Linked DNA regions of Oryzias latipes. The protein of the gene in region 2 binds, or shares a complex with, the protein of the main gene of each other region. Links are inferred from orthologs where the notes say so. Each region holds a gene or a part of one and is shown on either strand. Other genes may lie near its edges.

Region 1 (10,005 bases), on a different chromosome or scaffold from region 2:
ATCGCACAAGGGTTACGAAAAGGATGAATGGGGCCGTGTATGGTGAGATATTGGGAAAAATAACATGTTTCCTTATTGACATCATAGAGGGATTAAACGTGTCTGGATTTTCAACTCGACAATGATCCCAGACACATCACCTGGGCAACAAAGGAGTGGCTACGTAAAAAAAAGGAAACCTTTCAAGGTTCTGGAGTAACCTAGTCCATTTCCGGATCTCAATCTAATAGATAATCTGGAGAGGGAATTGAAAGTTTGTGTTTCCCAGTGACACCCTCAAAATATCACAGCTCTTAGAAGGTCTGTACAGAAGAATGGGCCAAAATAGCAGCTATGCTGTGTCTAAACCGGATAAAGGCCTACAGGAGACCTTTGACCTCTGTCTCTGAGATCAAGGTAACTTTTCTATTAAATTTTATTTATATAGCCCAGTATTACAACAATAGTTGTGCCAAAGAGCTTCATACAAGAACATAAAATCAGTCATAAAATGCTAAACTAAACTAAACAGTCTAATCTAAACTGGGCATTCCTGCCCTTAGACCCTTTTGTTTTGACCAAATACTCATATACAAACAAATGTTTAAAAAATGTTTAAAAATCATACAGTGTGATTTCCTGAAATCTTCACTCTTATATTCTAGTCTGTCTCTAACAGTTGAAGTGTATCTGTGATGAAATTATCTCGTCTTTAGGTGGAAAACTTGCAGAATCTGTGATCCAAAATTAAGAATAAAAATCAGAAGTAAAGTGATTGATAATTACTTAGAGGTCAAAACATACATATTTTGAAAGAAATTAATAAGTATGTGGGGCACAGAGAATATGGTTGGTAAAAAAAAAAAAAACTTCTTAGTTTCTATTATTTTGGTTGGGTAAAATTACATTTTTAAAATGTTTTGAAATAAATCCATGTTAGGATACATTTGGCACACTAATATGTTAACAAAGCTGTCTTATAATCGTGAATATAGTTTTGTTTTGCCTTACCTGTTCTGCTGCACCTGATTCATCGTCCTCATAGAGCATTAGATAGAAGCCGGACAACAGAACACTGTTCCTTTCCTCCAACTAATTATTCAAAATATTCAAATAGTTCAGCTACGTTTACAATTACCCACTGTGAACATTTACACTGAATCCTCGAGGGACAAAATGCAAACCCAGATAAATGATATGCTATTTATTGACATATTTCATATCTATCCATTTAAAACAAAACATTTAAAAAAAAAAAAGGTTTTACATTTGAGCCTTTTAAAAGAAGAAACAGTTCCAAACAAGTAATTACAAGTAGATTTTACTTTAAGAGATGTTCAAAACAAGTATTATATATCTTAAAGTTATGGTTTATTTTAAAAACAAGTTTAATTATGTTGGGAAAACTTCTTTCTTCTGAATTGGCAAATGGATGAGTCACTTCTTCCTGAGTTTCTTCATAAACATCACTTCATCTCTGTTTCTAATGCCGTAACTGAAAACAAATAAGCATTTGAATGCAGGAGTCAGAGGACATTTTAATATTATGTCAGTTGCACACAGTATAAACCAGACTTCATTGATACCCACTCTTTGAGCCTAATTGAGTCATCTTCAAGCTTTTCCCCCTGAAATACCAGATAATACGTCCTCCAAACATATCTCCTGGAGAAGAAAGGAGGAAAAACAAAGTGAAGATTTGGACACAACTGCTCTGTTATCGTGTTTACCAAAATTCTTACCAGCTGACATGTTTCACTCCACCTTCTCGTTGCTGTTTAAGCTCCATGAATCTGCGAATGGCCTTCTTAAGATCAAGAACTGTGGCGTTTTGCACCACCACTATAGCTAAATATGAAAAAAAAAAAATGTTACTACTGTGTATAGTAAAAAAAATGTGCAAAACATATTTAAAATCATTTGAAAGCTAAGAAAAATCCACATGCAAATATACATGGTCTGTCCAAAATTAAAAGTTGGATTTAAATATGCAAATTTGGACGCGCCTCCCATTGGATAAATATTGCATGGGCGACTGTCTGCTTGGGCGATGGGGTGATTGTCTGTCAACGGGTAACAGGTTTTATAATCCCAACTGATGCAATGAGTTGATTCCCTCTTTTTAAACCACCAAGTCAATAAACACATCCTGTGGGAGAGATGTTAGTTTGTTGGTGACGGGTCAAATCACTGGCGGTAAATTAAACATCAAAAGAAACTGCAGAGAGGGCGAACGGGTTAAGAACTGTCCAACACATTATGAAAAACTGGAGGGATAATGCGGGACACAAGAGCTGTGCACCCTTAAAAAAAAACCCACTGACCATTAAGGCCAACCAGAAAAAAAACGTTTGTCAGGGAACATTTAGATTGGACTCCAGAGCGATAGAAGAAGGTTATGAGGTCTGATGAGTCAGGCAGTGAACACAGACATAGTCATACAAACACAATATAGACACATACTAATTATACAAATCAGCTGGGAGACTTTGGAACTTACGCATGATTTCCCCATCTGCCTTAACAACCTTCACAGTCATTGCTTGCCCATACTCCAATGCAATCTGGGAGTTTACTTCTTCCAAAGTCACCTGAACACAAAAATATTGCAGATTGTGGATTCTCATCCTTCTAACACAGTAGAGGGTAAAAAAAAAAAAAATCAGTCAAATGGACTTGGTTAATCCTTTATAACTGCAGACATTTCATGTTTTCTCAAAGACAAATTTGCAAATACGAAAGATAAACCAGTTGTAAATAACAGATTTCTTTCTGGGCTTAATAATAAATGAGATTAAAAAAAAACAAATGTGATTATTGTATAATAGTCCAATGTTACAAGAGCAATACTGACAATACTAATGTTATGGATTATAACCTGTGTTTTTGTTATTTTTATTATGCATGTTTGGTACTTAATTCTAGATTAGAACATTTATTTCATTGCTATTCGTATATAATTCTTAAATCGTATAAACAGTTTCAAGAAGAAAAAGGAGAGAAAACATAAATTAGAGCTATAAGATTGTTTTGAAATTGGATTCGATTTGGCTTTTCAAGAATATATATGCAGCTATTTTCTGCTATGCAAATATGCCGTCAGACAAACCGGAAGAAGGACGCGTTTCAACTTTAGTGTTAAATTTACAATTTATGAAAATTTTCTTTAAACATCTGCCTGGTGTGCGGAGTGTGGTGTTTTTCTATGACCTGGATCGGCAGATCACACAGTAAAGGGTCCTGCACAAGTCGAGCAAGTCCCTCTTCGAAGATATCAAGGATCTCTGAATGTGGAAGAGACTCCTCATCTTCCTCCTCGGCATCTGGAGCTGTCTCATCAGCCAGCTTCTCCTCTTTCACCTCACTGTGACTGTGACTGTCCTGCAAACGATTCTCTCCTTCGTCGGTTTCCTGCTCCATCATCTATTATTGGTTAAAAATAAATACATTCAGTAAAAATGAAACCGCTTTCTCTTTTTTGACGCGTTCAATTAAGTACAAAAGATTCTTAAAATAATAATAATAGGATACTGTTTACAAAAATGTATCCCAAGACTGGTGTGAATTTTAATGCTGTGTGTCGCAGACCTTATACCGGTGGTATCATCAAAACATGATAAATAGTTCCGCTTATCAAAAGTAAGAACTTTTTTTCATGCGGCGGATGGTGGGGTTTTAAAATAATTATATTATTTATAATGTTATACATATATTTATACATTTATATACATTCTTTAACAATAACAATTTCATTTTTAACAAACGTTTTTTTTTTTTTTGTTTCCTACCGAGCTGTAAAACCGGAGCAACTGCTTCCGCTTTGCTTCTCCTTGCTAATGAATTTCGTAGTCGCTACTATCTTTCCCGAGATAGTTTTTCTTTAAATAATCTGGTAATATGCTTCTTTTTTGTCCTACTTGTGGAAACGTTTTAATCGTAGAAGAAGGACAGAAATGCTTGAGATTCGCTTGTAACACTTGTCCCTATGTGCACAACGTCACGAGAAAGGTACGCTCCTTTTATCACTGTCTGACTCTGACTCGAGAAACAAACACGACATTTCTTAGGGTGGTTTTTAATCTCAAACTTTTCAATATTTGTAGGTAAACTACCGAAAATATCCCAAGCTGAAAGAGGTGGATGATGTGCTGGGTGGAGCTGCAGCGTGGGAGAACGTGGATTCTACTGCAGGTAACAAACAAGTTTGTTACCAAGAATTAAAAAAAAACATGGATAGACTAGAGAATAATATAAAACAAAGGCCAAGAAAAACTAATTTGACTACTAAGACAAATATGTTCTCCATAGGAATAAATTAAAGTTTATTTGAAACAGTCCATTTGCGTGTTTAAAGGGTGTTAATAGTCACCCTTAGCTGCAAGTACACTTGAAGTTTATTTTATTAAGTGTACTTGGATGCAAGTATTGCACATATACTGCTGACCATGTAACGTGTAGGGAGTACATTAACTTAACACTTATTCTGACTAAATTGTGACATTTTATGTTTACTATATATAGACTGAACTTCAAGTACACTGCCTCACTCTAAGTATACTTGTAGTACACTTAAATGGACTACTTTTTGCTAGAGGCAGTGTTGCTGTGTGATGCTATGGCGAGTACCAACCTGAATGTGGGCCACAGAAAGAAGTTCAATCCGAGAACTAACTAAAATTCTGAACATGTGTGTACATATATGCATGTTTGCTTGTGTTTTTTCACAGAAACGTGTCCCAAATGCGAGCATCCTCGAGCCTACTTCATGCAGATCCAGACCAGATCAGCCGATGAACCAATGACGACTTTCTACAAATGCTGTAATGCTCAGTGTGGAAACAGATGGAGAGATTGAGCATTTTATTTCATTCACTCATTATTTCTAGTTTAAATGGCAATCAAAGCACATGTAAAGAATGTTTTGGACCCATTATTATTTATAAATAAAATTTGCTTTTCAGAATCAATCAACGGACAAATTCTTTATTTCAGAGCTTTTATTGATAAAATAATACCTGTGTACATCAGTCAATTCAATTGTCTTAGATGTTTGTATCTTGTTGCAGACATTGAGAGCAATGCATACCACTGGTTCCCACACGTTTATTTTCTATGCAATCCTTGAGCTCAAAATGCAATTTCTAGAGCAACTCAATCATCCTTAAGGTAAGGAAGAGAAAAAAAAATACAAATCTAGGAGCCAGCCAAAGAGAATCACTTATTTGGATGTGTAGCTCATGCAGACAAATTCTGCACCTCCAAAGCGTTGGTGAAAAATGAAATCGGACATGCTGTGACGGAACAGTGCTTTTACACTGTTAGTGGTTTATCCAATAAAAACTGTATTTTTGATATTTTTTTAGCTTAATCTGAAAAGACTGCTCAGTCAAGGCTATCGCTTCATCTAACATGCATTTATTTATGTCATAGATGACAAATGTCAAGATTAGGTGATCAATGCAATGATGGCTGCATCCCTTTCCAGCTTAAATACGGTTTACTACTTTCAAATCAGTGAGGAATCTCTACAATCTCAGTATCACAGAGATGGCATGTAGTGTTTCCACATAACCATGTCCTCGGCACACAAAGACTACTAAAATCTCTGATCAAATATGTTTTGATTAACTCCAGTTATATATTACCTCTATGCTTGAAATTATTCCACTTCTTTCAGGGAATTGATTAAAACAGGACAACCCTTTCTTCAGGAATAAAAAGGCTAAAAACATAACAAAGTGCAAATGTTGACATTACAATGAAAGCAGATCACAGACACGAGGAACTGGTGAGTAACAGTAAAACAATAAGTCAGCTCCTGATTGGAGCAAAGAAAAATCAAGTTTCTAGCAGATGTGTCAGTTTAAATTGACAGTTTTCCCACATTTGACAACTACAAATGTCAAAAACAAAATTACGCACAAATATTCATAATCCGGAAGAACACGTCTGAGCTTGAACGGATTAAACGAAAAATTAGACAACTTCACATATGAGGACAGCTTTCCTCTACACCAGGCTGCCAAGCTTTTAAAGTCCTACTATTCACATGCATCCTTAGCAGTAACAGGGATCTGTACAATTCAACTTCATGTTAATAATTTAAAATATGAAGAAATATATACAGCAAATTAGCTAATGAGAAAACTGATTACAATACAAGAGGGTTTCACAACACTATGCGAAAAAAAAAAAAAAAGTCGGCCTGTTAATATCAGCCAGGGGAGCTGCAAGTTTGTTTCTGTTTGCATGTACATGGCTCTGTGGCATCCAGCTGTTGGTGGTTAGCATATACGCTTGTATGTGTAGATGTAGCCCTTACAGTAAGGACAGGTGTGCGTCACGTCCTTCAGGTCATCAATCAGGCAGGGAATCAGGCAGCAGCCCAGGTCACACCTGCGAATGCGGAACGGGACGGTTATGCATATTTAGACTCAGACCTGTGGACGCCAGGGGCTGGCAGGAACAGAAAATGAACTCTGAGCACATTAAGCTTCCAAGTAAACAACAAAGTCCCTCAACAAGAATGTGAATTTAAACTAAAATAAGATGACATTTTCTATATTCAAAAATCTGTTCAAATGTCTAGGACAAAGAATTAATGCAAAATATACTTTTAAAAGGCTAAATGACACACTTTAGGTAGCTAAGAGCCATGAGACACATTCATTAAAACGTGGTTTAAAGAGACACCGACTTCCTGCTTTCAGATTTTGACTGCAACAATAAAAATGTAAGACAAAACATCTTTAAAAAAAATCTGATTTATTTTTATCCACTTCTTGAACTTTACTTCCCTGGCCTTATTGCAAGCCAAGGCTCCACAATTTACAAAAACCTTACATATGGACATTTCTAACTTGAAATGTATTTAAAAAACATTTTGATGTTAAATTTTACTTGTAATCATACAATGTATACAGAATTCTTTAAATTCTTTTTTTTTTACTAACATGGATTTTAATTGCAATCTATGTTCATTTCCTTTATATTGATGAACTGTCTGGTTCACATACTTTTTTTTTTTTTACTAATAATCAAGCTTAGAAGTTTCCTTTATCATTCAATAATCCTTTAATTTGATCCAAAAATTGTCTCATAAAATACTACATGTATTACATGGCACTACATGTGCTATATGTAAATAAAATCAAGAACAAAACCAGAATATTTACACTATAATTTGTATTTAACACTACTTTATCATTGTGAATAGGCCTTAAATGTGACGCTTTCAACTGAATAAAAATAATTAGCACTTGAATTAATGATAAAGCTGTTTAAACTTTGATGCTCCTTTGGTTTTCCTCATCAGAGGAAAAGTTCCGTTTCGTCACCTTTTTGACCAATTTGTATCTGCCGTTTACAACGATTACTCGTTCCAAACAAGTGCAGTTTACAAGCTCCACAGTACACTCACCCTACAAAGAAGCAGAATAGGCAGAAGAGTGTGTTCATGAGGCCAACGTCGTGGGAAATGCGGGTGACGATTGCTTGTTGGCAGTGTGGACACACAGTCTGCACCGGCGAGGTCTGGAACATTTCCCCCTGCAGTACCGTCACGGTGGTGGCTGCACCTGGTGGACCCAGGACTGTTGTTGTTTGTCCTCCCATGTGCACAAAGTGGCCGGGGCCTGGACCCATCTGACCTGGTATTGGGCTAGCGAAGTGCCCGGGAGGCAGTGGGTAGGGGCCACCTGTAAAGAATGAATCCAGAGGTGTAATAAAAACTGAAACTGTGTCAACGGAACAACTTTATAGAGACCACACAAAAACACAACTTTGATTTAAGTCCTGCAATAAACTTGACTACAAGGATGGAGCACAATGAACAGATATAAAATCAGTAAAAGTGAATAAAAAAGATTGAATCAAATGAGTAAAAACAGACGATAAGAATATCAAATAACATCAATTAAGAATTTTTCTAAATTTTAACTCAAAGCCAGAATCAAAAGGTAGTTCTTGAGCCTTCCTTTAAAAACATAAACAGTCTCTGTGGATCTCTGGGTGGCTTTTCTACAGTTCCATAATGACTGAATGAGGCTTCCTCATATGTTTTAACTTAAAACCTTTGGAATAACTAACAGACCTGTACCTGAGGAGCTCAGGCTCGGCAAGGGCTCAAACTTTAAAATCAGATCAGATAAATATGACGGCCCAATGCCAAGCTGAAAAATCATATTTCATGAGATTTAGCAATAGAAGTACAACTATAAATATTTCATTTGAAATTGATGGTAGAACAATCAAGGGTTCTGTCATTGGCTGCAAACATGAAACATTTGAAGCAGTGGTGGAGAGGAGCTTTTATCCATTATGGACAGCCCAGACCATCCTCTCCACCCTGTTCTGGACAAACAGCGGAGCTCCTTCTTTAAGAGGCGCAGACAGCTCCGCTCCAACACTGTCCGATACTGGAAATCCTTCCTACCCAATACAATACGCTTTACAATAACTCACAGGGTAACAGATAACTTTTGCACATTTTTGCCTGCACTGTTTGTGAATATTTTTTTAATTATACCACCTTTTTTTTTTTTTTTTACAATTATTTTGTTTTTATATGATTCAATTTTCTTTTATGATTACAATGCTGCTACTGTAACGCACAAATTTCCCACTTGTGGGATCAATAAAGTACTTCTGATTCTGATAACAGGAATTAGGTCAAGTAAATGGCAACAATTCAAAACATCCACATTTTCATTGGTAAAATGTGTCACAAAAAGGGAGAACTTTAGGCCCTGAGGGAAGCGAGGCGGTATCCTAAAGAGTTAATGAAAAGCTTAAAGTAATAAAAGATTACAAGCTTGAGCTGAAAGTGTGACGTAAAAGTTTTAAGCATTTCGCTAAGAGTTTTTAAACAGAAAAAGTCTCAGTCTTGATGCTCAAATTTCACTTTAGAAATTCTTTATAGAATCTAAATATAATTACAAATATCAAGAATTAGGTACCTTGTGTTGGTGGAGGCATGGGCATAGGCATGGGCATAGGACCCTCCCCTGGGACATGTGGTGGAAGGAAACCAGGCTGCGTGGCTTCATAAGGTGGAGGGCCATAGTCTGGAGGAAGGGGCTGTCCTTGTATGGGAGCATTTCTTACAGACTCTGAAAGATGGGACAAAAAGTTTTTTGTTTTTTTTAAAGCATTACAGACTGCAAAAACAACATATCTGACATTATGAATGAATACTACAAATAAATGCTACATCTATGACATAAATATGCAGATCACTAATTTGGGAAACAGAAAATCAACCTTCAATTGAAATGATTTCACAACAGGAAATAAATGTAAGGCTAATTTCTTTATAATACCTTTCAATAATATTGAACAAAATAATGTGTCTTTAGCTTATTACCTGGCTGTCCATTCTTCTCCACAAGTAGGGGGGCACTGGGACCTCCAGGGTACGGAGGAGGTGGATCACTGGACATAGTGGCCAGAACTCAGAACTGGCTTGTTGTTAATAAAACAGGAACACGATCAGAACACTATGGATGTTTTCTATATGTAAAAAGAAAAAAAAAAGAAAAAAAATACAACTTTTCAAACAAATGATTGAGCTAAATTCTGTCAAACTGACATAAGGCAAAAATCTTGATGTTCCTACCAGAGAAGCTTGTGTAAACAAAAGATATTGACAGCTTAGATAAGATCTAACATTTTCCTGTTACCATGTAGAATTGCAAGACTTTAATAACAATGTAAGAAAAGTATTGATACGAGGCTTACAATTGTTTTTATTGCAGTATATTACAGAATATTACTTTGTAAAACACACAAAATATGCTGAAAAGCAGAGTGTAGTGCTTAAAATTAGGAGAATTTTAGGTAAAACTATAGTGGTATAGTTTTTTTACCTCCTCATGTATATTTAGATCGTTATTTTTTAATATCTATATAGCCTGATAAAATGCAGAAAAAGTAAACTTGTCTGACAATATCATGCACAAAAATGATAGTTGTACTATTTTTCAAACCTTTAATTGATTTTGAGTCCACTATTTTCCCTTGTTTAAA
Region 2 (11,235 bases):
ATGTTTTAGTACGACTTTGGTAAACAATGAAAGACACACCGCTTGATGGATTGTTAGAACATTATGGGTACCATATTCAGGAGCCTAACAGAGTGATACGCACTGTCCTTCAATTGTTTGTAAATGTGTTGAATCAAGTTTGACTTTAAGACGATTTAGTTTAACATGTAGTTCAAAAAATACGTAACTTCTTAAAATTAAAAAGATTTTATTTTTCTTCAACCAGAAAGCCACAATGGAGAGGTAAAAGAGCCACATGTGGCTCCAGGGCCTCAGGTTGCAGAGCCCTGATCTAAACAGTCCTTTCTGGCATTTCCCGATGAAAAAAAACAACACTGTGGGGCCGGATCTCTTTTTGTTGCTGAGCAAGTAATGATTGATTCAATGATTTCTTAAAAAGTGCAATTTACAATCAAAAGTCTGAACAGGTTGCCTTATCTTGAGAAGCACACGGTCAGTGCTAGCTGATGAGGCTTCTGTCCAAAATAGACCAGCCGCTTATTTATAGTGTGCAGTACCAGACCACTTATGGAACGTAACACAGCATGTCTGGTGAGAGCATAACACGACTGACTTCAGCAGCCACAATCAACTTTAGAGCCCACATCAGAGCCGCTACAGGTGACTGTGGCTCGAAACACGGAGGAAGCAACACAACAATGGATGTTGTGTCAAAAGACTGAAAAGCAAAGTTAAACGAGTTTACCCCTCCACAGCAGGTGAGCGCTCTGGTCTGCTGCTGCCTCTGAACCGGTATCTCCTCTGGCTGTGAAGGCGAGGTGGGCGGCCTGGTCCGAAGTGTTCATTGGATCCTAACAGACCACCCATCTGCCCCCCGAGACCAGCTGGAACCGATCCCCCGATCGGTCCAGCCCCCAGTCCTCCGAAATCACTAAAACTCCCCAAACGACTGCTGGAGAGCCTTGGCTCGGAGTCAGGAGTGTCACTGTCTGTTGTAAACGGCCTCTCCAATAACAGGAGGTGCCACAGCTGTAGAGACGTTAGGATTAACAAACAGTTATGGAAAGGGACATGAAAAAAAAAAAAAAGACAGGGAGACAGAGAGATCAAAAAATGGGGGGAAAACTCAAAAATTAATCATAATTTAATATGATCAGAGTCAAACGTACCTCTGCAAACTGTGTGGCTGTGTCATCTATCCCATTTGCACCGCCGTCTAGAAGACTAATGAAAGCAACACAAACAGGGGAGGTACAACAATCTCAATAAACGCGTACTAAACTGATCAACTAAAAGGTCACGCTGGAAGAAGATTCAATAAACAGATAACTGACAGAGCAACAAACATGTATTCACTTTTAAGGTTCTGTTCCAGAAACAGAGGTCTCTTACCTGGAATCCTCTGTTACTTCCTCTATGAAACCTGAATCACATCTTGGACAGATGTATTCCTGCAAGAAAAAGAACAAGGACAGAGTCACGCTTATTTATAAAGGCTGAGGAAAAAAAGAGACAACTAAACATCGAACTATGGCCACATTTTTCATTTCAATTGGGTTTCAGCACATCAGAAAGAAAAAAAAGTAACATTTAGATGTAAAAACTTGGTTTTACATTTAGTATACATCCTATTGAAGATGCCAAACACAATACAAGTAAAAAAGATTCAAATGACAGTAGATATTTCAACACACCAATGTGTACGATGTTAACATCCTGGTTTAAGGGCTGTTGAAAGTACATTAGAAATACTATAAGCAAACATGTCCATCATTAAGACTTTCCAGTTAAATGTACTTTTAATTGTTTACATCTTAATATGTTGAAAAACAGACATTTTAAAAGCCTGTGCAACTGTTTTCATGAGCCAAACCATTTTTGGGCTTGTGTTTTATTAATGTAAAATACAACACATATCGTGATACTTCAAAGGATAATTGTTAAGAAAAATGTATGATGTTTTTTTTTTTTTGATTGGCTGATTAAAAGCATAAATAATGACTTTCATTTAGTGTTTCAACATATGAATGCAACCAAAGAGGTACGGCTGGTCTGCCAACCACACCTTAGGGGGAGGGCGTTCAAAACCAGCATGACAGCTTGGAGCAAACACAACCAGCAAGCAGCCTTTGCAGCAGGATGGATCATATGTTGTCCTCTCATTTAAAGATAGAGCTTTTCACTCAGGGGAACAGGATTGAGGTCACTTAGCATAAAAACAAAGTTGTAAGCCATTACGGCAACACCTGAAGTACAATACTTGTAGCATTAAAAAGTGGGTCACAACAATAATGTCTTTTTAGATTGTAGTTCACTCGATTTGGAGTGCTAAATATACAAATGAAATTCACAAATGTTCTTAAGGTTGAATTGAAAAAAAAAGTGACTATGAATTACAGAAATTATTTTGGTCAAAGCCTTTGAATTCAGATTTACTCACAAAACTCACACAATTACTTGTAATAAATAAATGTTATGTATTGTTTTGTTGATTTTTATAATTTACTTTATATTTCAGGTTTAAAAAATGTTTGATATTATCTTTGCAGTTGCTTGATCCAACACAGAAAAAGAAAATCACAAAGAGACAAGTGAGTAAATCCAGAATTAGTGACCAATTATCTGAAATTTAAAAATAATGGGGAGGCAATAGTCACAGCTCTGTTTCCAGTTTACTGGTCGATTAAACAAATAGACGTTTGGATGTTTATTTTTACTTTATGGCACAGTAAATCACAGAACCCTCCATCTCTGTATCAGTCTAACAGATTGCTTCTAAGAAGCTAACAGGTTGCACTTTTTAATTTAAACTTTCAGTCAAAATCTAGACACAACATAAAGCAGTGTTTCCTAAAATTCGGGTTATATAACAAAATTCATTTACTCAATACATCAGCCAGTTATAAGCTAAATTTATAAAACATGTAAGAGAACACATTCATGTTAGAAATTCAGATATTTCTGGTATTTATTTTAACCTGTCCAAATTTTTTCTTGTCCAAAATGAAATACTATAATCATTATCATCAACAAAATAACTTATATTTCAATGATTGAAAAATGTGTGTCAATTTTTATTTATTTACCAAGGAACATTTGTTTCAAAAACACAAAACGGAGTCAACAAGAGAAAAAAAACTACAAATAAAAAAACAAACACTTACAGTTAGTTAAATGTTTTTGTAAAAACGTAGGAATGTCCTTTTAAATAAATGGCCTTTTAAAGAATATTTGTAAAATAGTAATAGTAGGCCATTTAAACGCCTCTTCTGCCGACATTGTTACGTTTGACTTTAACACTAAAACTGAAAGTAAACCACAACGTATGACATCTACAGAAAACTTCCCCTGCTTATACTGCCACTGCTGTTAACAGAAACAAAAACTAAATGTGTATATATACTGAAAAGGAAAATCTGAGTGACAGTTTATGAATAAATAAACTCTCAGATTAATTCGGGCTGTTTTGTTCAAAAACATGCATCTATCATTTACCACCAAGCACACAACTTCTACCTTGAAGCACAGAGATTAGCGTAAGTATTTTAAAACAGGCACGAATAACAAGACCTACTATCGTTAGTTTTAAGAGTAGCTTAGTTTCCCCTAAAACGACTAACCGGAGTTTCTTTACTGACTTAACAACAACAAACACTGCTATATGCTAATAGCCTATGGGCTTAGCTGTAGCAAGAAGTAGCCGAAACAAACAGCTACCTGCCGGAAGGCAGACTTGTCAGCCGCGCATAACACTCAACATAAAATGAGCGAATAACCAAAAATAACGCGACTTACCGGGAGTTTGGGATTTACTTCTCCCTTACAACAGTGACAGAAAAACCGATGCGAGGGAACAGCCGCAGCCTCCGCCATCTTCCCGGAGCAGCACAAACACTGACGTCGGTCCTCCACTAGCTGAAGGGAGCTGTCCGCCCCCAGCCCGGCATGCACTGCGGCACTGTTGTCGAATCACAGCAAGCAAAAAACCGGGAGCGGAAGTGTCTGTTTGTTGTCATCGACTAGCCTCATGCGCTAAACTATCTGCACGGAGTCTGCTTTCATTGCGAGATCTGAAATCGAAAAAGGTTTGTGAAAAAAAAAAAATGCCAGGCTTATACCATCAAATATTCAGAGATAATTTAGTAAATTCCCAGCATGCAATTGTAATTTTACTATCCAAAAGCCCAAGGGGGAAAGAACTTGAACAACTGTTGACTTTTCAAATTAGAAGAGATAGTTTACATGCACTGTATGCTATAAGGGAAACTACTTAATGACCGATCTAACTTTTTATTTTTAGATTTTACCTGTTGGAATAAGTGGTGCCTGTTTTAACAAAGTAAAATACTATTATTGTTGTTTGTAGTTCGTAAACTAGATGTATAGAGATAACATAACTAAAAAAAGTGCTGTTTATTGAAAAACTAAACTGAACTAAAATAAAATTGATTTATTGTTTATATTGGTTCATGTTGAACGATCAAATCCGATCCGATTCACTGATCTAAAATCGATCCAGAACATCTTTAGCCAAGAATTCAACCAGTGGGACTCAGAAAATAAATACCTGGATTCTGAACAGTGCAGGGGAAGTTTTCCACATTCCCTGTATTTTTTTGCAACATAATTAAGTGTAAATTAAACATGTTTACAAACAAACAAGTAAAAAAGAATGAATGGACAGTTTTACCTACATTTTGCTGCCATTCGATGTGTTGTCTGTTTTAACGTTATAGTTAGAAAAAAAGCCTACTGTGCCTTAATCCAAATGGTATTTTCCAATATTGATAATAATTGATTTATTTCCTTTTAAAATTAATTCATATTGGTATAGTTTGATTCGATTAACATCTTGCCTCAGATGGATGAATCGATTCATCTTTACAGCCTACTAAAAGCACATGCATTAGTTCTTATTATTAACTTAGTGGTTTTCATTGAACTGTTGGTGTGTTTGTGCAGATGACAGCCCAGGAGGTCCGTCTGTGTGGTCTTCTGCTGCAGGAGCACTTTGGAGAAGTGGTGGAGAAAGTGGGAAGAAATCTGCTCAAAAGTGGAACGCAAAATTTAAGAGCCATTGTTCATGAAACTGGCTTGTCAGTGGATCTGGTAGGTCAACGCAAGACTGAGATTGCATTCGCTGTAGTCAGATGTTCTTTGAAAAATAATCAAAATTATTCATTATTTGAATTATTATTCAAAGCAAACGGTCACATATATTACTATGTCCCTTGCAATATGGCAAAAGTTAGTTCTTTAAAGATATTTGAACAATAAGAGAAACAAAATTATAATGTAATTATTCAGGTAATATATATTCATATTTGAAAACAGTTTTACCTGAAACTGATTGCTTATCAGTTTTTTGTCAATACAATACAGTGATGTCTGGTAATGTTCATGTACTTTAACAGGACTTCTTCTTCTTTCATCAAGGTAAAGAAGTCTCTGTGCGTTCTTGTGCAACATGGAGCCTGTTCGTTTATTCAAGGTCGAAAAGGACCGGGGAGCCCGACGGAATACAAAGCCCACTGCGATCGGGTACTGAGAATTCTGCGCTACCCACGTTACATATACACAGCCAAAACGCTGTACGGCGACACCGGTGAGCTTATCATAGAGGAGCTGCTGCAGAGGGGCCACATGACGATGAGCAACACAGTTAAGACAGTCGCAGACCGTCTAACTCAGAGTATGGACGGTGAGCATCAGAATCAAACAAAAGACTGTCCATAAAAGAGATGATCTGTTTTCTGAAGGTTTTTTTTTCAGTTAAGCTTTGGATTGAGGCCTAAAATATCGCGATCAGTAGATTCATTTTCTAATGAATACTTCCTTTGATGTTTTGTTGATACAGAGGGGTCGAGCATGGATTATGGTGAAGTGTCCGCCACCTTTTCCAAACTGGTAGAGACTCATTTTCTCCAGCGCTGTCCCCCAGCAGCAGGAGCAGGAACGACAGGGAGCAGTCAGACTGCCAATTCGACTTCTGCAGCTCCTGCCAGCAGCACTGCACCCACACCGGAAAGCTTCCCCGACTGCTACAGGGTTCCTCAAGTGACACTCATAGGCCGGAGCAAACGCTCGCTCGCCAGCGAGGAAGGAGAGGACCAAAGAAATGCGAAAAAAGCGAAAATGGACCCAGAGGTCAGAGAGACGTTTGTTAAAGCAAGATGTTCACTGCATATGCTAAGACTTCTATGGTTGTGACTTCTGTTTGTCTTCTCATAACTTGGATCTTTGGTGCTCAGACTCATGGGGATGAGGGGATTTACTGGCAGGTGAACTTTGAACGGTTCCACCAGCATTTCCGGGATCAGACTATCATCAGTGCTGTCGCCAACAAACTAGATCAGGTGGGAATTCCACAAAACATTTCAAACTAACCATTTTTTTTATTCATTAAAAGAAAAACAGGTTTTGAAAAATAATTGCCTAGAAAAAAAAACCCAAATACATTTCCTCAGTGTATAATTATTTGATGGTTAAAAGTAAAAATGAATAGTATTTGAAAACCCTCTTTGTATGGCTGAAGGAATTTAGCATAAGCATTTGGTTGTTTGATAAGACTATCTGACTTTGAAGTATTGACCTTAAAATCAAAGAAAATTCAAATTTTAAATGAAATAAAGTGATAGTTTTTGGAAGTACTCCTAATAATTCCTCTTTTTTCTTGGATTGTTCTCTGTGCTTTAAATACTACAGCTTTTTACATTTATTTCATTATTAATTATTTATTATTATTATTTATTATTAACTAGCTGTCTTCTCACATCTTTCCTACCCAGACCAGCAGTGAAATAGTGAGAACCATGCTGAGGATGAGTGAGGTGACAACCTCTTCCACTGCCCCGTGCACAAAACCCCTTTCAGCCAATGAGATCTTCAGGTCCCTCCCAGCTACTTACAACATCCCCCGCCATATATTGGACCAGTACCTCACTCTGCTGGTGGATGACCCTGTAGGTCCTCCTCATCTCAAATATCTCTCTGATTTTTGCTTGGCTCCCCACAAAATGCTCAAAAAGTTTCCCACTTTTCCTTCCTAAGATGGAGTTTGTGGGGAAGGCTGGGGAAAGTGGAGGAGGAATGTATATTGTCAGTATCCTTTCTGCTCACTTGAAGGTTCAAACCATCCCACAGGTGTGCGTGTCATTCGCTACTAAACCCAAAACAAAAGCTTTCCCTAACTTTTCTGTCAGATCTGAACCAAGCATTGGCTAACCTGGCACGGGCCACCCTGGAGTCCATCGTACAAGAGAGGTACACCAGTGTGTGTGTTTGCTCTCCACACATACGGTTGCTATTGGGCTCCCATTGTTAATAAGATACCTTTTATTCATCCTCAGATTTGGCTCCAGATCAGCGCGCATCTTCCGCCTGTTGCTACGGAAACGTCATCTGGAGCAGAAGCAAGTGGAGGATTTCGCCATGATTCCAGCAAAAGAGGCTAAAGACATGTTGTACACTCTGCTCTCACAGAACCTGGTCCAGCTTCAGGTACGTGGATGTAAAATGGGTTTAAAGAAGGAACTGGATGAAAAGTTTACGATTTGTTTTAATCATACACCTGGATCTATCCTAAGACTAATTTTTTAACCTGGTGGTGAATTTTAAACATCTGAGCTGAAGTTATTTAATCCAAAACAGCATTGTTCTGTTTACCAATGTATATAGATTTATTTAAAAATACATGTGTTGAGTTCTCAAAGTTTGAACCAAGCAGCCATAGTTCTAGTTTTTTCTTTTTTTAGTACAATTTTTATTATCTGTAATTATCTCTTTTTTAAATGTATCCTCCAGGAAATCCCCAAAACACCAGACTTTGCTCCCTCTCGGACCTTCTATCTTTATACCGTCAACCAGCTGCCTACTGCGAGATTGCTGCTACAGAACTGTTACAAGGTGAGTCTGAAAACAAACTGGGAGCTTTAGAAAGCTGGATGGAGAGCCACAGGTGTATTATTTCATGCCTGCTTTCCTCTCCAGACAGTGGCCAACCTTATGGAGCGGCGGCTGTTTGAGGCCAAAGAAAGCAAGTGGGTCTTTGAATCATATTTTTCCTTGAAGTTTTACAAGAATGCAGGTACTGCTATGCGCCAAATGTGAATTATGTTTGTTTTTTAGGCGCCTTCTGGAGAAATCGCAACGAATCGAAGCTATTTTGGCGTCTCTGCAGGCCAGCGGGGCCGAACCCGAACAGCTCACTGAAGTGGAAGAAATGATCACCGCTCCTGAAAAGCAACAACTGGATAGCTTAAGGCTTCATGTTAACAAGTAAGAGAAGACGACAGAAACAAAAAATGTATATTTGGCAAAGTTTTTTAAACAGGTTTTAAATTTTCCTTTTTTTTCTTTCCAGATTAGATTCAGCAGAGAATCAAGTGGATGAAACAATCTTTCTTCTGGAGTCCTACATAAGTTCCTCTACAAAACCTACAAGTTAAGTCAGATTTGGAAGAATGACTGACACCCCACATTTTACTTAAAAATTATTTGATTTTGTTTTTTTGTCACAACAGTTTTAGAGTTTACAGCAAATATGTTTCGGTTAGAAGTGGATTTAAATCTGATTGTTTTTATTCCTTGCAAATAATAAACACAACAGGAGGAACCCTTTCCAAATGTTTTTTATTTCCCATCATGAAACAAAAAGCTGTAGAACCGAGTGAACATTTGAAATATAAAACCATGAACAAGTCTGCAAGTTAAATAAAAGAACTGTGGCTTAATACATTTTCAAATTCCTTAAAATTAAACTAAGGTTATTTACAAACATTGGGGTAAAAAGTATTTATTAGTCACTGATTCTGCAAGTTAATGAGAAGCCTGTAATGTTTATCATAGATATGCTTCAACTGTGGGAGACGGAAAGTAAAAAAGAATCCAGAATTGTTTTTTTTTTTATAGAATGTACTTGAATAATGGTGCGTTTAATGTCAAATCCTACAGTGTGGTTTCCTGGATTCTTGTTCTGTTTCTTAAAGTTGAAATGAACTTACGATGAACATTACTGATCTCTCTCATCATTTTAAGTGGGACAACTTGCAGAATATTCAAATACTTTTTTTGCCCGGCTGTAAGTGCCTCCATACTCTGGAAATAGTGGGAAGTGCATTTCTGTTAGACCCTTGCGATGCTCTTTTTTAGTCTTTGGAAACTCTGTTGCATCCATTTCCTGAATGTCTGTGCCTGGTGGGAGGCTCAAAGAAAAATCTACTTCCCTTGTAGTCCACAAGGCAAATCGCTGTTCATACAGATTCAGTCTTCAGGATTTTCCTCCTCTCCTCTGTGTTTGCGTGTAAAGAATCCGAGCTGACAATAAGGAAAAGAGCGTGAATGAATACGCTATCCTTTATATATTACACATATGTCTTGAACATCAAAGAGAGTTTGATGTGATACCTTCCACAGTATGAAGATAATAAGAGCCAACAGCAGCAGACCGCCTATGATGCTGCCGATCAGAATCCAGAGCGAGATGGGAATAGCTCTTCCCTTCAGCACCTCCAGTACAGTCTAAAGAGAAGTGTGGGAGACGCATGGGTATGTTAGGTACACTCTAACGTAGGGCTGGTGGTCTCTGCCAAAATATTTTAACCCTTGCGACATCTTTGCATATCCACTAATTGTTGAAATGTAGGTGAATATTGATTACGTTTTCAAATTTCCATCCAAAATAACCGCACAAGCTAACTAACTAATAAACAAAAATTGAATTTTCATTCTTAAAATAAGTAATTCTTGAATAAAAACCAACTGAAAACAGTTTTTATGCCTGAAAAAATACTCAAAATGACTTAAAAAGAAATTTGATTCATACATTTGATTCATTTATGTTGCATATTCTGCATATTGTTAGTAAATATGGATTTGATTAACTAATATTTTTAAACTCAGCCCGTCTCTTACCTCCCCCCAGACTGTTCCTTTTCCCAGAGTGATGAGGTTAGTCTCCTGAGCTGTGAGGCCATAGGCGCCTATTATCCTCATTGACTTATATTTTGCCTGAATACATAAAGAAAAGGGTCATGGTCAAAGCTGGAGCGACTGGAGAATAACTGAGTCACCTTATTTGTCATGTTACTCACTTTCCTGAAAAAATCCTCATGAACTCTGCGGCTCACTCGAATGATGACGTCCTCCCTGAGCTGCCGCACCTCACACACAATCTCCGTGCACCATGACCTGCTGCAGTTCTATGTATGGAAAATGGAGATTTCCCATCAGCTGCTGTTCAAGGGATTGAGAAGCGCCTGTTTTCTGGGCCTCACCAGGATTTCATCCTGCATCATGTCTTCAGGATGAAGTGGCCGCACTTCTCTCTGCCTGCTCTTCAGCTGCGCCACATCACTCATGACAGTACAGTTCACCCCTGAGGCCTGGGTGGGGGGGAATGAGCAAATGTCATGTCTTATCTGAGAGAAGTGAAAATGCAAATGCATCCTAAAAAAGAGAATCTGCTCACGTTGTTTGAGGAGACATCGGTGACAGTCATGAAGGTGCTGTCTCCTGCAGCTGCAGTGGGCAGATACAGCCGCAGCTCCAGGTTACTCAGCAAGTAACAGCCAAAATTCTGCAACTAAAATATAAAAAAAAAAATTGGTGGATACTTATGTCAATATTTGACATTTTCAGACATTTTTTATTAGAATCAAGGATTTACCCTAAAGTAGGTGAAAAATTGTGGCCCAATTGCTTCCGATGCTGTTCGAGTGGGGTGGACTTCGTAGCGGTTCAGATTAGAGGTACTGCATAAAGAACAAGCCTGTAAGTACATCAATAGCAAGAAAAAATAACAAAAAAAGCTTATACTGTGCAGTCTCACCTACTAATATACAACTCTGGCTCATACTGAACAAAGGTTTGCAACTGAACACTGTTGTCCCCCAAAGTCTCCTGTCTTTCAACACTGTCACTGCAAGACCAGAGCGAGAGTTACAGCAAAAGTTTCCCTGCAGGTTGGTGAAAATGTGCATGACACAGCCATGACTCAACTACCTGGAAGCGTTGATCTTTATCTGGACACGACTGTGCAGAAAACTGCAGCTGAACTCAAACTCCAGCATAAAGTTAACCTAAAAAGAGCAGAAAATAGTCTTAAGTTTCACCCGAGGAAAGGAAAGTGTGAGACCAATGGAGTCAATCCTTCAGGTAAGCGCACCTTTGACCGAGAGCGAAACACTGGGTAGCTGACGTTACAAGAGTGAATGTTTGAGCCAATTGCTGTACACTCCATCTTAAAGTAGGCATCCTCCTATGTTAAAAAAACAA
Region 3 (11,161 bases), on a different chromosome or scaffold from region 2:
TGCAGCATGTTGGATGTCTTTCATCCAGCAGGTTGGACGTCTTTTATCCAGCAGGTTGGACGTCTTTCATCCAGCAGGTTGGACGTCTTTCATCCAGCAGGTTGGACGTCTCTCATCCAGCAGGTTGGACGTCTCTCATCTAGCAGGTTGGACGTCTTTCATCCAGCATGTTGGACGTCTTTCATCCAGCATGTTGGATGTCTTTCATCCAGCAGGTTGGACGTCTTTCATCCAGCATGTTGGATGTCTTTCATCCAGCATGTTGGACGTCTTTTATCCAGCAGGTTGGACGTCTTTCATCCAGCAGGTTGGACGTCTCTCATCCAGCAGGTTGGACGTCTCTCATCCAGCAGGTTGGACGTCTCTCATCCAGCAGGTTGGACGTCTCTCATCCAGCAGGTTGGACGTCTCTCATCCAGCAGGTTGGACGTCTTTTATCCAGCAGGTTGGACGTCTCTCATCCAGCAGGTTGGACGTCTTTCATGCAGCAGGTTGGATGTCTTTCATCCAGCAGGTTGGACGTCTTTCATCCAGCAGGTTGGATGTCTTTCATCTAGCAGGTTGGACGTTTTTCATCCAGCAGGTTGGATGTCTTTCATCCAGCAGGTTGGACGTCTTTCATCCAGCAGGTTGGACGTCTTTCATGCAGCATGTTGGATGTCTTTCATCCAGCAGGTTGGACGTCTTTTATCCAGCAGGTTGGACGTCTTTCATCCAGCAGGTTGGACGTCTCTCATCCAGCAGGTTGGACGTCTCTCATCTAGCAGGTTGGACGTCTTTCATCCAGCATGTTGGACGTCTTTCATCCAGCATGTTGGATGTCTTTCATCCAGCAGGTTGGACGTCTTTCATCCAGCATGTTGGATGTCTTTCATCCAGCATGTTGGACGTCTTTTATCCAGCAGGTTGGACGTCTTTCATCCAGCAGGTTGGACGTCTCTCATCCAGCAGGTTGGACGTCTCTCATCCAGCAGGTTGGACGTCTCTCATCCAGCAGGTTGGACGTCTCTCATCCAGCAGGTTGGACGTCTCTCATCCAGCAGGTTGGACGTCTTTTATCCAGCAAGTTGGACGTCTTTCATCCAGCAGGTTGGACGTCTCTCATCCAGCAGGTTGGACGTCTCTCATCTAGCAGGTTGGACGTCTTTCATCCAGCATGTTGGACGTCTTTCATCCAGCATGTTGGATGTCTTTCATCCAGCAGGTTGGACGTCTTTCATCCAGCATGTTGGATGTCTTTCATCCAGCATGTTGGACGTCTTTTATCCAGCAGGTTGGACGTCTTTCATCCAGCATGTTGGACGTCTTTCATGCAGCATGTTGGATGTCTTTCATCCAGCAGGTTGGACGTCTTTTATCCAGCAGGTTGGACGTCTTTCATCCAGCAGGTTGGACGTCTCTCATCCAGCAGGTTGGACGTCTCTCATCTAGCAGGTTGGACGTCTTTCATCCAGCATGTTGGACGTCTTTCATCCAGCATGTTGGATGTCTTTCATCCAGCATGTTGGACGTCTTTTATCCAGCAGGTTGGACGTCTTTCATCCAGCAGGTTGGACGTCTCTCATCCAGCAGGTTGGACGTCTCTCATCCAGCAGGTTGGACGTCTCTCATCCAGCAGGTTGGACGTCTCTCATCCAGCAGGTTGGACGTCTCTCATCCAGCAGGTTGGACGTCTTTTATCCAGCAGGTTGGACGTCTTTCATCCAGCAGGTTGGATGTCTTTCATCCAGCAGGTTGGATGTCTTTCATCCAGCATGTTGGATGTCTTTCATCCAGCATGTTGGACGTCTTTTATCCAGCAGGTTGGACGTCTTTCATCCAGCAGGTTGGACGTCTCTCATCCAGCAGGTTGGACGTCTCTCATCCAGCAGGTTGGACGTCTTTTATCCAGCAGGTTGGATGTCTTTCATCCAGCATGTTGGACGTCTCTCATCCAGCAGGTTGGACGTCTTTCATCCAGCATGTTGGACGTCTTTCATCCAGCAGGTTGGATGTCTTTCATCCAGAGGAAATCACAGCTTTTATTTTGATAGTCCACTTCATATTATAGGCAAGTTCATTTGCTAAATGTTTAATTTGGATTTAAATGTGTTTTAGAAAATATAAATATTTAGTGATAAACCTTAAATGTTTAGTTCAGATGTTCATTTGTAAAGTAAACGTTTTGTCTGTAAATTAAATATATATAATTGTAAAAACAATATTTAACTTTAAACCATGCATTTACTTCACTAAATATTTAGTTTGTACATTTAACTATACTAAATGCATGAATTAAAATGTGAAAATATGGATTAAAAGGTTAAACTTGTTTTTTCTCCTCAAACCAGAATAATAATCCAGAATATTGTTGTAAATATTTGCTCCCCTTAGAAACGGTTTATTGAATTCTCATCAAAATTCAGAATGAAAATACCTTCAAAGGTTCCCTTTATTACTTCCCTCAAAACGTCTTTTTGATGTTTTTCTTTTTACTAAACCTTTTTTTAAATGAGAGTTTATTCCTTCGTTCTGTTGTCGTCTTTCGCTTTGGTTGTTTCTTCATCTCTGGCAACGTGAACGGACATCTGGAAAAAAGGCGACAAGAGAAAAATGCTGTTAACAAATTAGTAATTAATGGCAGGAAAAGTACAAATATGGAGGAAATGAAGAGAGAAATGTTCCAGTTTTACAGTAGGCTGTTCTCTTCCTCTTATTCATGTCAGGATGCTGATCGCTTCTTTAATCACATCAAGGATTTGGCTCCTAAAGTGGATGAAAACTTTGAAGCAGAAATCACTATGGAAGAAGCAGAAAAAGCCATGAGAGGTTTAGCTGTAGTTAAATCTCCAGGATCTGATGGGCTGACTGTGAACTTTGACAGACATTTCTGGAAACACTTGAAAGAGCAGTTTCTGTTGGTCATAAAGGAAATGATCCTTCCAACCGCCATGAAGCCGGGCGCCGTCACCCGATTCCTAAAGCTGGAAAAGACGCCAGACTGATGGATCATTTCAGACCAACATCCCTCCTCTACAGTGATTAGAAAATCATAACCAACATTTCTGCATCTGGATTAAAAACAGGACTGAATCAGATCATCTCAGACACACAATCAGGGTTTTTAAAGACGATCAATTCACAATAATATCCGGTTAGTTCTGGATCTGATTGACTATAATCAGTTCATTGAAGATGATGGCTTCATTTTATTTTTAGACGTCTTGAACACAAATTTATGTTTCAGACTTTAGAATTATTTGGATTTGGACCTAATTTTATAAGTTTTGTTCAAACAATCTATAATGATACAAACAGTGTCGTTATTTTACCAAACGGCATTTTTCCCAGGTTTTTAATTAACAAAGGAATTTGTTAGAATAGATAGAATCTCACCATTACTTTTTATAACAGCAACAGAAATGTTATCAATACTTCTAAATAACTCTGGTTTCTGTAAACTCAATGTTCTGGGAGAACAGCTAGCCATCACTCAGCTGGCAGACGACACGCCCACATTCATGAAGGACAGTCATCAAACACCTGACATCATTCAGAACCTGGATTTCTTCTCTAAAGAATCTGGTTTCAAACTGAATCTCAGCAAATGTGAATTGTTGCCAGTTCTCCATTCTGATCAGTCAGTCCTTCATAACATTCCTGTTAGGACTGCTGTGAAATATATTTAGTTCAGATCACCAAAGACAGTAAAACTATGGAGGAAATGAACTTATGGAAAACTTTAGAAAAATGTAAGTTAATGTAAACATCTGGTCACAGCGAGACATTTCTATTCAGAGTGTTTCTCACTAAATTAGAATGTTGATCCAGATTCATTTATCCAGCATAGGAAAGCAATAAACCCGAACAATTTCAACTTCATCTGGAAAAACAAAATTAATTCCATAAAAAAAGAACAATAATTCAGGATTACAGTGAAGGTGGACTTAAAGCCTCAGACTTTGAAAGTTTGGATGGTATGATTCAAATAAATTGGCTTAAGTCTTTTCTGCAAAATGGGAGAAATATTTGGTTTCATATTCCCTCAAACATCTTTTCTCATCTAGGGGGTATTGAGTTGCTTCTAAAATGTGATTTTGATTACAGAAAACTTCCTATTAAACTTTCTACTCATCATCAGCAGCTGTTACTGTATGGAAACTCCTCTACAAACATAACTGTAGTTCACACAATACTCCATATGGAACTGTTGGGATATTTTATGTAGGAACAAATCAATATTTTACAAACATTGGATTGATGACAGTATTTGGTCATTAATACATATTATGAATGACAATGGAAACATTATCTCATTTGAAACTTTTTCCAGTAAATTTAAATTAAATGATAGAAAATAATATAATAATGTGATCAAAGCCTCAGACTTTGGTCCAAATGTCCTCCAGTCTGGTTCATGATGATCAAGTTCAGCTTCCCTCTCTGTTGTTTGATGGTCGACCGGTTAATTCAAAACTTCCAAACTCATTTATACGATCTTTATTTGTTAGAGCCGTCCTGTTTCCAACATTAGACATAAATCATTCTATGTCACAGCTTTACACAAGAGAGGAAATAAGCAAGTTGAGGTCTCAGTTCATTAAATATCCAATTTTCCCAAAATACAAAGAAATCCATTTTAAAATAATGAATGCAGTCTATCCATGCAAAGAACTGTTACACATACGTTTAGGTTTTCCAGAGAATAACTGTTCTTTTTGTGATATAAATATTGAAACACTTGATCATTTGTTTTTTGAATGTATGTATGTTTACAGTTTTTGGGAGGATTTCTTTTTTTGGTGCTCTTCAAAGTTTCCCTTTCCTATTTCTATTCACTTACAAAAGCACATTATATTATTTGGAGTAGTTTCTGGTGATAATCTATTTGATTTGACATTCAATACCTTATTAATATCTGGGAAATTTTTCATTCACAAGTGCAGATTTGTAAAAACGAAACCATTATTTAATACATTTCTTAAAGAAATCAGTTTATATTTTAAATCTCTGACATTGATGAAAAACAAAAATGCAATAAAACTGTGTGTTTTCATTGAAGATCACATGCTGTATGACAATCCCTAGTGTTGTAAACTATAATTCTATATATTTTGTTTTATTTATTTACTTATTTTCTTTTTCTCTCTTTTTTGTATGTTGTTATTATGTGTATGTTTAAAGTTCAAATAAACAAAATTAAAAAAAAACAAAAAAAAACGTGAACGGACATCACGTGCTCTGATGACGTCACACAGGACCGAGCCTCTCCCGCCGCTGGGGGGCGGTAACGCTCCGGTCTCCGTGGTTCCCCCAGAAGAAGAAGCGGCGTCACCGGCAGCAGCGGACCGGGGAGATGGCGGAGGTTCGGGTAAAGAAAGAGACGAACCTGGCGGAACCTGCAGAGGTGGAGACCAGGTTCGGACCTCACGATTCTGCCGCGTGCCGGTCCATGACCGAAGCGCGTGCATTTCATCTACGAGCAGCTCCTTGGCTTGTTTCATGCGCGCGTGTCTTAAGTTCAGAAACGGTTCTGGTTCCGGAGGCTACTCTAAACCGAACCTCAGCAGGCTTCTAAGACCGAAACCACTTTGTCTGGTTCCAGAGGTTCGAATCGGGAGACCGACTCAGCTCACGCTCAGGTGGTTTTAGAACCGAGTCCAGTTCTGAAGGTTTTAGATCTGAGTAAACCTCCGAAGACTTCAGAACCGAGTGCAGGTCTGAAGACATTAGACTCGAGTCACTCGGGTCTAATGTCTTCATAACTGGACTCGGACTCGAGTCCCGTGAGTTCAGGTCTAAAGACTAAAGGAACCGAGTCCATCCAGGTCTGAAGACTTCAGAACTGAGTCCCGGTATGAAGGTTTTAGATCCGAGTCCAGGTCTGAAGACTTTAGAACCGAGTTCAGTTCTGCAGACTTTAGAACCGAGTCCCGGTATGAAGGTTTTAGATCCGAGTCCTGGTTTGAAGGTCCAGGTCCGAGGACTATCGCTGCAGCTGTTGGATGTTCTGGATGTTGTTCAGAGAACACGCGGATGGGTCAGACGGATTCTAGAGTTCAGGCGGTCTTTGGACCATTTCTGAAGATCCAACGTGACGTTCTGAACGGACCAGAAACACTAGAACCTCCGTCTTGGAGAGGTCCATCTGAAGATGTTCCTTTTTGTTCCAACTGGAGATGAGACCCAAGCTGACACAGGGTTTATTATGGGATGTCTGATCTTTGGAGCGACTGGACCTTGTGGTTCTGATCCAGGAACTTCAGCTCTGAACGCCTGTGTGTCTCCAGGATCAGAGAGCTGTGTCAGCAGTTCCCTCAGGGAATCACAGACCAGGTGATCCAGAACGACATGCCTCACCTGGAGCCGCAGCAGAGGGCCCTGGCCATCAACAAGCTGCTGTCCCTGGTTAGTCCGGTTCTGAACAACCCAATCCATTCTTCAGCGCAGAGGGGTTCTAACGTAACCTGGTGTTTGTTCCAGGGCCAGCTGGACTTGCTCAGGAACAGTTCTGGTCTTCTGTACAGATTAAAAGATTCTCAGACAGCCAGGTGAGCAGCGTTCCATCTGCAGGTTCTGGTTCTGTCCACCGTGAACCCCAATCCTCTGTTTCAGTAAGATGAAGGGCTCGGACAACCAGGAGAAGCTGGTTTACCAGATCATCGAGGATGCCGGAAACAAAGGTGAGCTCTGTCTGCCTCCTTCCAGAAGGTACCGCGGGTCAGAACCTCCCAGATGTTCTGTTCGCAGGAATCTGGAGCAGAGACATCCGCTTCAAGAGCAACCTCCCTCTGACCGAGATCAACAAGATCCTGAAGAACCTGGAGAGCAAGAAGCTCATCAAAGCCGTCAAATCTGTGGCCGTGAGTTCAGAACCGAGCCGGTCCAGACGTGCTTGTGGCCGCCGGCAGTCCTGAACTCTGCTCGTCTGCCACGCAGGCGTCCAAGAAGAAGGTCTACATGCTGTACAACGTGCAGCCGGACCGCTCCGTCACCGGAGGGGCCTGGTACAGCGACCAGGACTTTGAGTCCGAGTTCGTGGAGGTTCTGAACCAGCAGTGCTTCAAGTTCCTGCAGAGCAAGGTATGGAGAACCCAAATGTACGGAACACCAAACCAATGGGTCACAAAGGTCAGAGGTCAGCTGTAGAGCTACGTTTACACCGGGAAACGCGTTCAAGGGACCGCTTTGAGTCCAAAGTCTACGGGAACGCGTCTACGCTTCCGCCTCCAAACTCTACAAAAAGCGCCGCCATTGAACGTGAAACCAGTTGAACTTTGACCAATCAGGGACTCTGAGTTGGTTGCGACGTATGATGGCGTCAAAGCAGAAGTACCAACGACTGAAACTTGATCAGAAAGGACAAAGTAATAACTGCGGTTTGTGTCGACGCCAAGTCTATGATGGATCAGAATCGAGCTGTGAACAAAAGACTCACCAGATTTGGACGTTTCCCACCGAGTCGTCCAACCGCAGGAGACGGCGCCGGGTAGCCACAGTCCAGAATGAACGCCGTAGGCGAGCAAAGGTTCTGTGGTCTTCAACGCGCATCACGTGTGTGAACGTAGCACCAGGCTGAGGGGCCCACCCCTCACCCCCACTCACCCCTGTGTGCAGGCGGAGGCGGCGCGGGGCGGCCAGCAGAGCCCCATGGTTCAGAGGAACAGCTCCTTCGCCACGTCTCACGAAGTCTGGAAGTACATCAGCGAGTTGGGCATCAGCAAGGTGGCCCCGCCGTGACCTCACAGCCCCTCCCAACAGCTGCAGCTGTTCTCACAGGTGTCCCGTGTGCAGGTGGACCTGTCCATGGACGACATCGAGACCATCCTGAACACGCTGATCTACGACGGGAAGGTGGAGATGACCGTGATCGCCGCCAAGGAGGGGACGGTGGGCAGCGTGGACGGACAGATGAAGCTGTACCGCGGCGTGAACGCCGTGCTGCCGCCGGCGGGCCTGGTGAAGACGCCCTGCGGCCTGTGCCCGGTAAGCCGCGCTCCGACGCCCCCTGCTGCCGCTCCGGCTGCGGCACTCACCCCCCCCCCCCCCCCAATCTCTCTGCAGGTGTTTGACGACTGTCACGAAGGGGGGGAGATCTCGCCATCCACCTGCATCTACATGACAGAGTGGCTGGAGTTCTGACTCCGCCCATGGAACCCCGCCCCTTTCCTCCATGGAGCCACGCCCCTTTCCTCCATGGAACCCCGCCCCTTTCCTTTGGTTACGTCTGATTTAAGTTAATAAAGTTTTACTGTTGTGTGAAAAGCGACTCATGAATTCTGACTGAAGTGATTTTGAAGAAAGATCTTTTTTCAGATTTCCCATCAAGAGCGGCCAAAGGCCCCGCCCACAAGCTGTGTAACGTCATCCATGCTCGTTATAAACAGGAAATGGAAAAGATCCTTAAAACCAAGGGTCCCCAAACGATGGCCCGCCCCCCCATTAGACCCGGCCCCCTGAACGATACCAGAGAGAACCAGTTTATTATTATTGAAGCGTAGAAAACAGAATCAATAAAACTTGGAACAGAAAATGACAATAAGGGAAAGAATGCAGGATTTGAACCAGAGCGCTGACCACTGCTCCACCATGCCGCCTCCCAGGAGGAATTTAGCATTTGGATTCTGCGTATAGGGACTGCGGTTCTGAGATGGATCCGGTTTCCTGGAGCGGCCCGACCCGCCTCACAGATCGATGAGGAACATCGCTGACCATCAGGTTAGTCTGCCCCCCCCCCCCTAATGGACTCTCTGCTGACCGTCAGCAGGTCATGTGACCCATTAATGACCCCCCCCCCCCCCCATCAGAACCTTTAGACTAAAAACAGAAAACGGATCAAAACCGGAAATATAGAAAAGGTTCGAATCAACCAGAACTTGACATGAAGTCGCTGAACAGAACCACAAGAACTGGACCCAACTGAACTCAGAACTTCTCAGGGTCCAGTGGGACGGGTACCACCATCAGTGACGTCAGTGTTCGCTTCCTCCAGATCTGGACCGGAGTCCAGGTGAGCTTACACCTGCCAACCGAACTGAACCCTTATGGGAATCAAACCTGTGATCAGAACATGAGGACGGTCCCGACTCAGAACCGATTCTTTCCAAAGTTCTGATGGGCGCTGAGAACGGACCTAAAGTCCCCCTTCAATCCAGAACCGTCCGGAATAACACAGTAACGGTTACCGCGCATGAAGATCGGAGGGTTCGGTCTGAGCCCTTCACCCGAACCGGTTCGGTCAGACTGCTGTGACTCTGGGGGTCCGGCAGGACCGCGCACTGACAGGGGCGGGGGGAGGGGGCGGGGCAGTGCAGATCCTTCCCATCATCCCCTGCAGCAGCCGTCGCAGCAGCTGCAGCCCCCACTCCCCCGCCACTCCTGGATCCTGCAGACCCGCTGGAGTTCGGTGTCCGGTTCGGACCTTATCCTGGTAAGCAGCCGCAGGATCCTCGCGGTTGATGAGTGGGCTCCAAGGTGGGGTGGGGAGATGGGGAGGCGGGCGGTGCCGGACCCCCCCATCCCCAGCAACTTCGATCTGTGGACTCGGTCGGTGCGCCGGGATTCGGTTCGGCCTCCGCGGAGACGCGCGCGCCGCGGCAGCAGTCGTTTGTCCGGTAGGATGGAGGACAAAAGCGCGCGGGACAGGCGTGGCCGCGGGCAGGACGGCCGCCGGTTCCGGTCAGACACGCTCGCGTTTGTTGTTCAGGCAGCTGCAGTCCTGGTTCCGAGTTCGTCCGCGCGCACATAGGCACTGGTTTGACCCAAACCAGGTCCCGAAGGCGTTTTGTTTACTACTGCCCCCCCCCCCCCCAACTTCCTGTTATCTGACGTCATCTGGTCATTGGGCTAACTTCAGGACCGCTGAGCCTCCTGCAGAACTGAACTGGGCCAGCAGATTTGTGGTTCTGGAGAACCTGGTCAGGAATATAAACGGGTCAGCTGTTTCCGGTCCGTTTACATCCAGCTGATCCAGAGGAGAATATCATTACTACGAGTTTAGTTTGGGTCGGAACCAGAGCAGAACCTCTTAGGGCCTCAGTTTAGATCTTAGATTCGGTTCTGACAGGTGTAACCTGGGTTCTGGTTCTGGTTTTGGTGCAGATGTCAACCTTTAATGTTCTGTTGAAGTCGCTTAAAGATGAAAAGATCAGATAGTTTCAGAATTCTGGATCAGAACATGAATACTGTTCTAGTAGGAGGAAGAAGAACTGATGAAGAACGGAGGAAGAGGAGGTGATGAAGAACGGAGGAAGAAGAGGTGATGAAGAACGGAGGAAGAACTGAGGAAGAGGAAGTGATGAAGAACGGAGGAAGAGGAGGTGAGGAAGAACGGAGGAAGAGGAGGTGATGAAGAACGGAGGAAGAGGAGGTGATGAAGAACGGAGGAAGAAGAGGTGATGAAGAACGGAGGAAGAACTGAGGAAGAGGAAGTGATGAAGAACGGAGGAAGAGGAGGTGAGGAAGAACGGAGGAAGAGGAGGTGATGAAGAACGGAGGAAGAGGAGGTGATGAAGAACGGAGGAAGAGGAGGTGATGAAGTACGGAGGAAGAGGAGGTGAGGAAGAACGGAGGAAGAGGAGGTGATGAAGAACGGAGGAAGAGGAGGTGATGAAGAACGGAGGAAGAGGAGGTGATGAAGAACGGAGGAAGAACTGAGGAAGAGGAAGTGATGAAGAACGGAGGAAGAGGAGGTGAGGAAGAACGGAGGAAGAGGAGGTGATGAAGAACGGAGGAAGAGGAGGTGATGAAGAACGGAGGAAGAAGAGGTGATGAAGAACGGAGGAAGAACTGAGGAAGAGGAAGTGATGAAGAATGGAGGAAGAGGAGGTGAGGAAGAACGGAGGAAGAGGAGGTGATGAAGAACGGAGGAAGAGGAGGTGATGAAGAACGGAGGAAGAGGAGGTGATGAAGAACGGAGGAAGAGGAGGTGAGGAAGAACGGAGGAAGAGGAGGTGATGAAGAACGGAGGAAGAGGAGGTGATGAAGAACGGAGGAAGAGGAGGTGATGAAGTACGGAGGAAGAGGAGGTGATGAAGAACGGAGGAAGAGGAGGTGATGAAGAACGGAGGAAGAGGAGGTGAGGAAGAACTGAGGAAGAGGAAGTGATGAAGAACGGAGGAAGAGGAGGTGAGGAAGAACGGAGGAAGAGGAGGTGAGGAAGAACGGAGGAAGAAGAGGTGAT

What was found.
Region 1: polr3c (region 2) and polr3k share a complex: the UniProt entries of both Homo sapiens proteins name them as parts of the RNA polymerase III complex. The link is inferred for Oryzias latipes from reciprocal best matches to the Homo sapiens genes POLR3C and POLR3K.
Region 3: polr3c (region 2) and polr3f share a complex: the UniProt entries of both Homo sapiens proteins name them as parts of the RNA polymerase III complex. The link is inferred for Oryzias latipes from reciprocal best matches to the Homo sapiens genes POLR3C and POLR3F.

Annotation. Positions count from the first base shown.
Region 1 is NC_019866.2:8,136,264-8,146,268, forward strand, and holds polr3k (DNA-directed RNA polymerase III subunit RPC10), read left to right. Parts: upstream 1-3,770; 5' UTR 3,771-3,876; coding exon 3,877-3,987; intron 3,988-4,082; coding exon 4,083-4,170; intron 4,171-4,706; coding exon 4,707-4,834; 3' UTR 4,835-4,946; downstream 4,947-10,005. Other genes in the region: snrnp25 (U11/U12 small nuclear ribonucleoprotein 25 kDa protein), read right to left, coding at 1,417-1,474, 1,570-1,644, 1,722-1,827, 2,480-2,570, 3,190-3,402; cdip1 (cell death-inducing p53-target protein 1), read right to left, coding at 6,264-6,375, 7,400-7,676, 8,937-9,089, 9,344-9,419. UniProt on the Homo sapiens protein: Core component of RNA polymerase III (Pol III) which synthesizes small non-coding RNAs using the four ribonucleoside triphosphates as substrates. Can mediate Pol I proofreading of the nascent RNA transcript.
Region 2 is NC_019874.2:18,837,633-18,848,867, forward strand, and holds polr3c (DNA-directed RNA polymerase III subunit RPC3), read left to right. Parts: upstream 1-3,927; 5' UTR 3,928-4,046; intron 4,047-4,923; coding exon 4,924-5,070; intron 5,071-5,397; coding exon 5,398-5,662; intron 5,663-5,818; coding exon 5,819-6,108; intron 6,109-6,212; coding exon 6,213-6,317; intron 6,318-6,749; coding exon 6,750-6,923; intron 6,924-7,011; coding exon 7,012-7,063; intron 7,064-7,163; coding exon 7,164-7,224; intron 7,225-7,310; coding exon 7,311-7,461; intron 7,462-7,764; coding exon 7,765-7,866; intron 7,867-7,950; coding exon 7,951-8,000; intron 8,001-8,088; coding exon 8,089-8,238; intron 8,239-8,323; coding exon 8,324-8,408; 3' UTR 8,409-8,580; downstream 8,581-11,235. Other genes in the region: E3 ubiquitin-protein ligase RNF115, read right to left, coding at 707-990, 1,131-1,185, 1,354-1,412, 3,757-3,834; itga10 (integrin alpha-10), read right to left, coding at 9,223-9,276, 9,367-9,480, 9,874-9,969, 10,053-10,160, 10,236-10,343, 10,430-10,543, 10,628-10,712, 10,790-10,879 and 2 more. UniProt on the Homo sapiens protein: DNA-dependent RNA polymerase catalyzes the transcription of DNA into RNA using the four ribonucleoside triphosphates as substrates.
Region 3 is NC_019859.2:411,515-422,675, reverse strand, and holds polr3f (DNA-directed RNA polymerase III subunit RPC6), read left to right. Parts: upstream 1-5,238; 5' UTR 5,239-5,335; coding exon 5,336-5,397; intron 5,398-6,269; coding exon 6,270-6,387; intron 6,388-6,462; coding exon 6,463-6,530; intron 6,531-6,594; coding exon 6,595-6,662; intron 6,663-6,729; coding exon 6,730-6,842; intron 6,843-6,918; coding exon 6,919-7,062; intron 7,063-7,596; coding exon 7,597-7,704; intron 7,705-7,773; coding exon 7,774-7,965; intron 7,966-8,043; coding exon 8,044-8,121; 3' UTR 8,122-8,248; downstream 8,249-11,161. UniProt on the Homo sapiens protein: DNA-dependent RNA polymerase catalyzes the transcription of DNA into RNA using the four ribonucleoside triphosphates as substrates.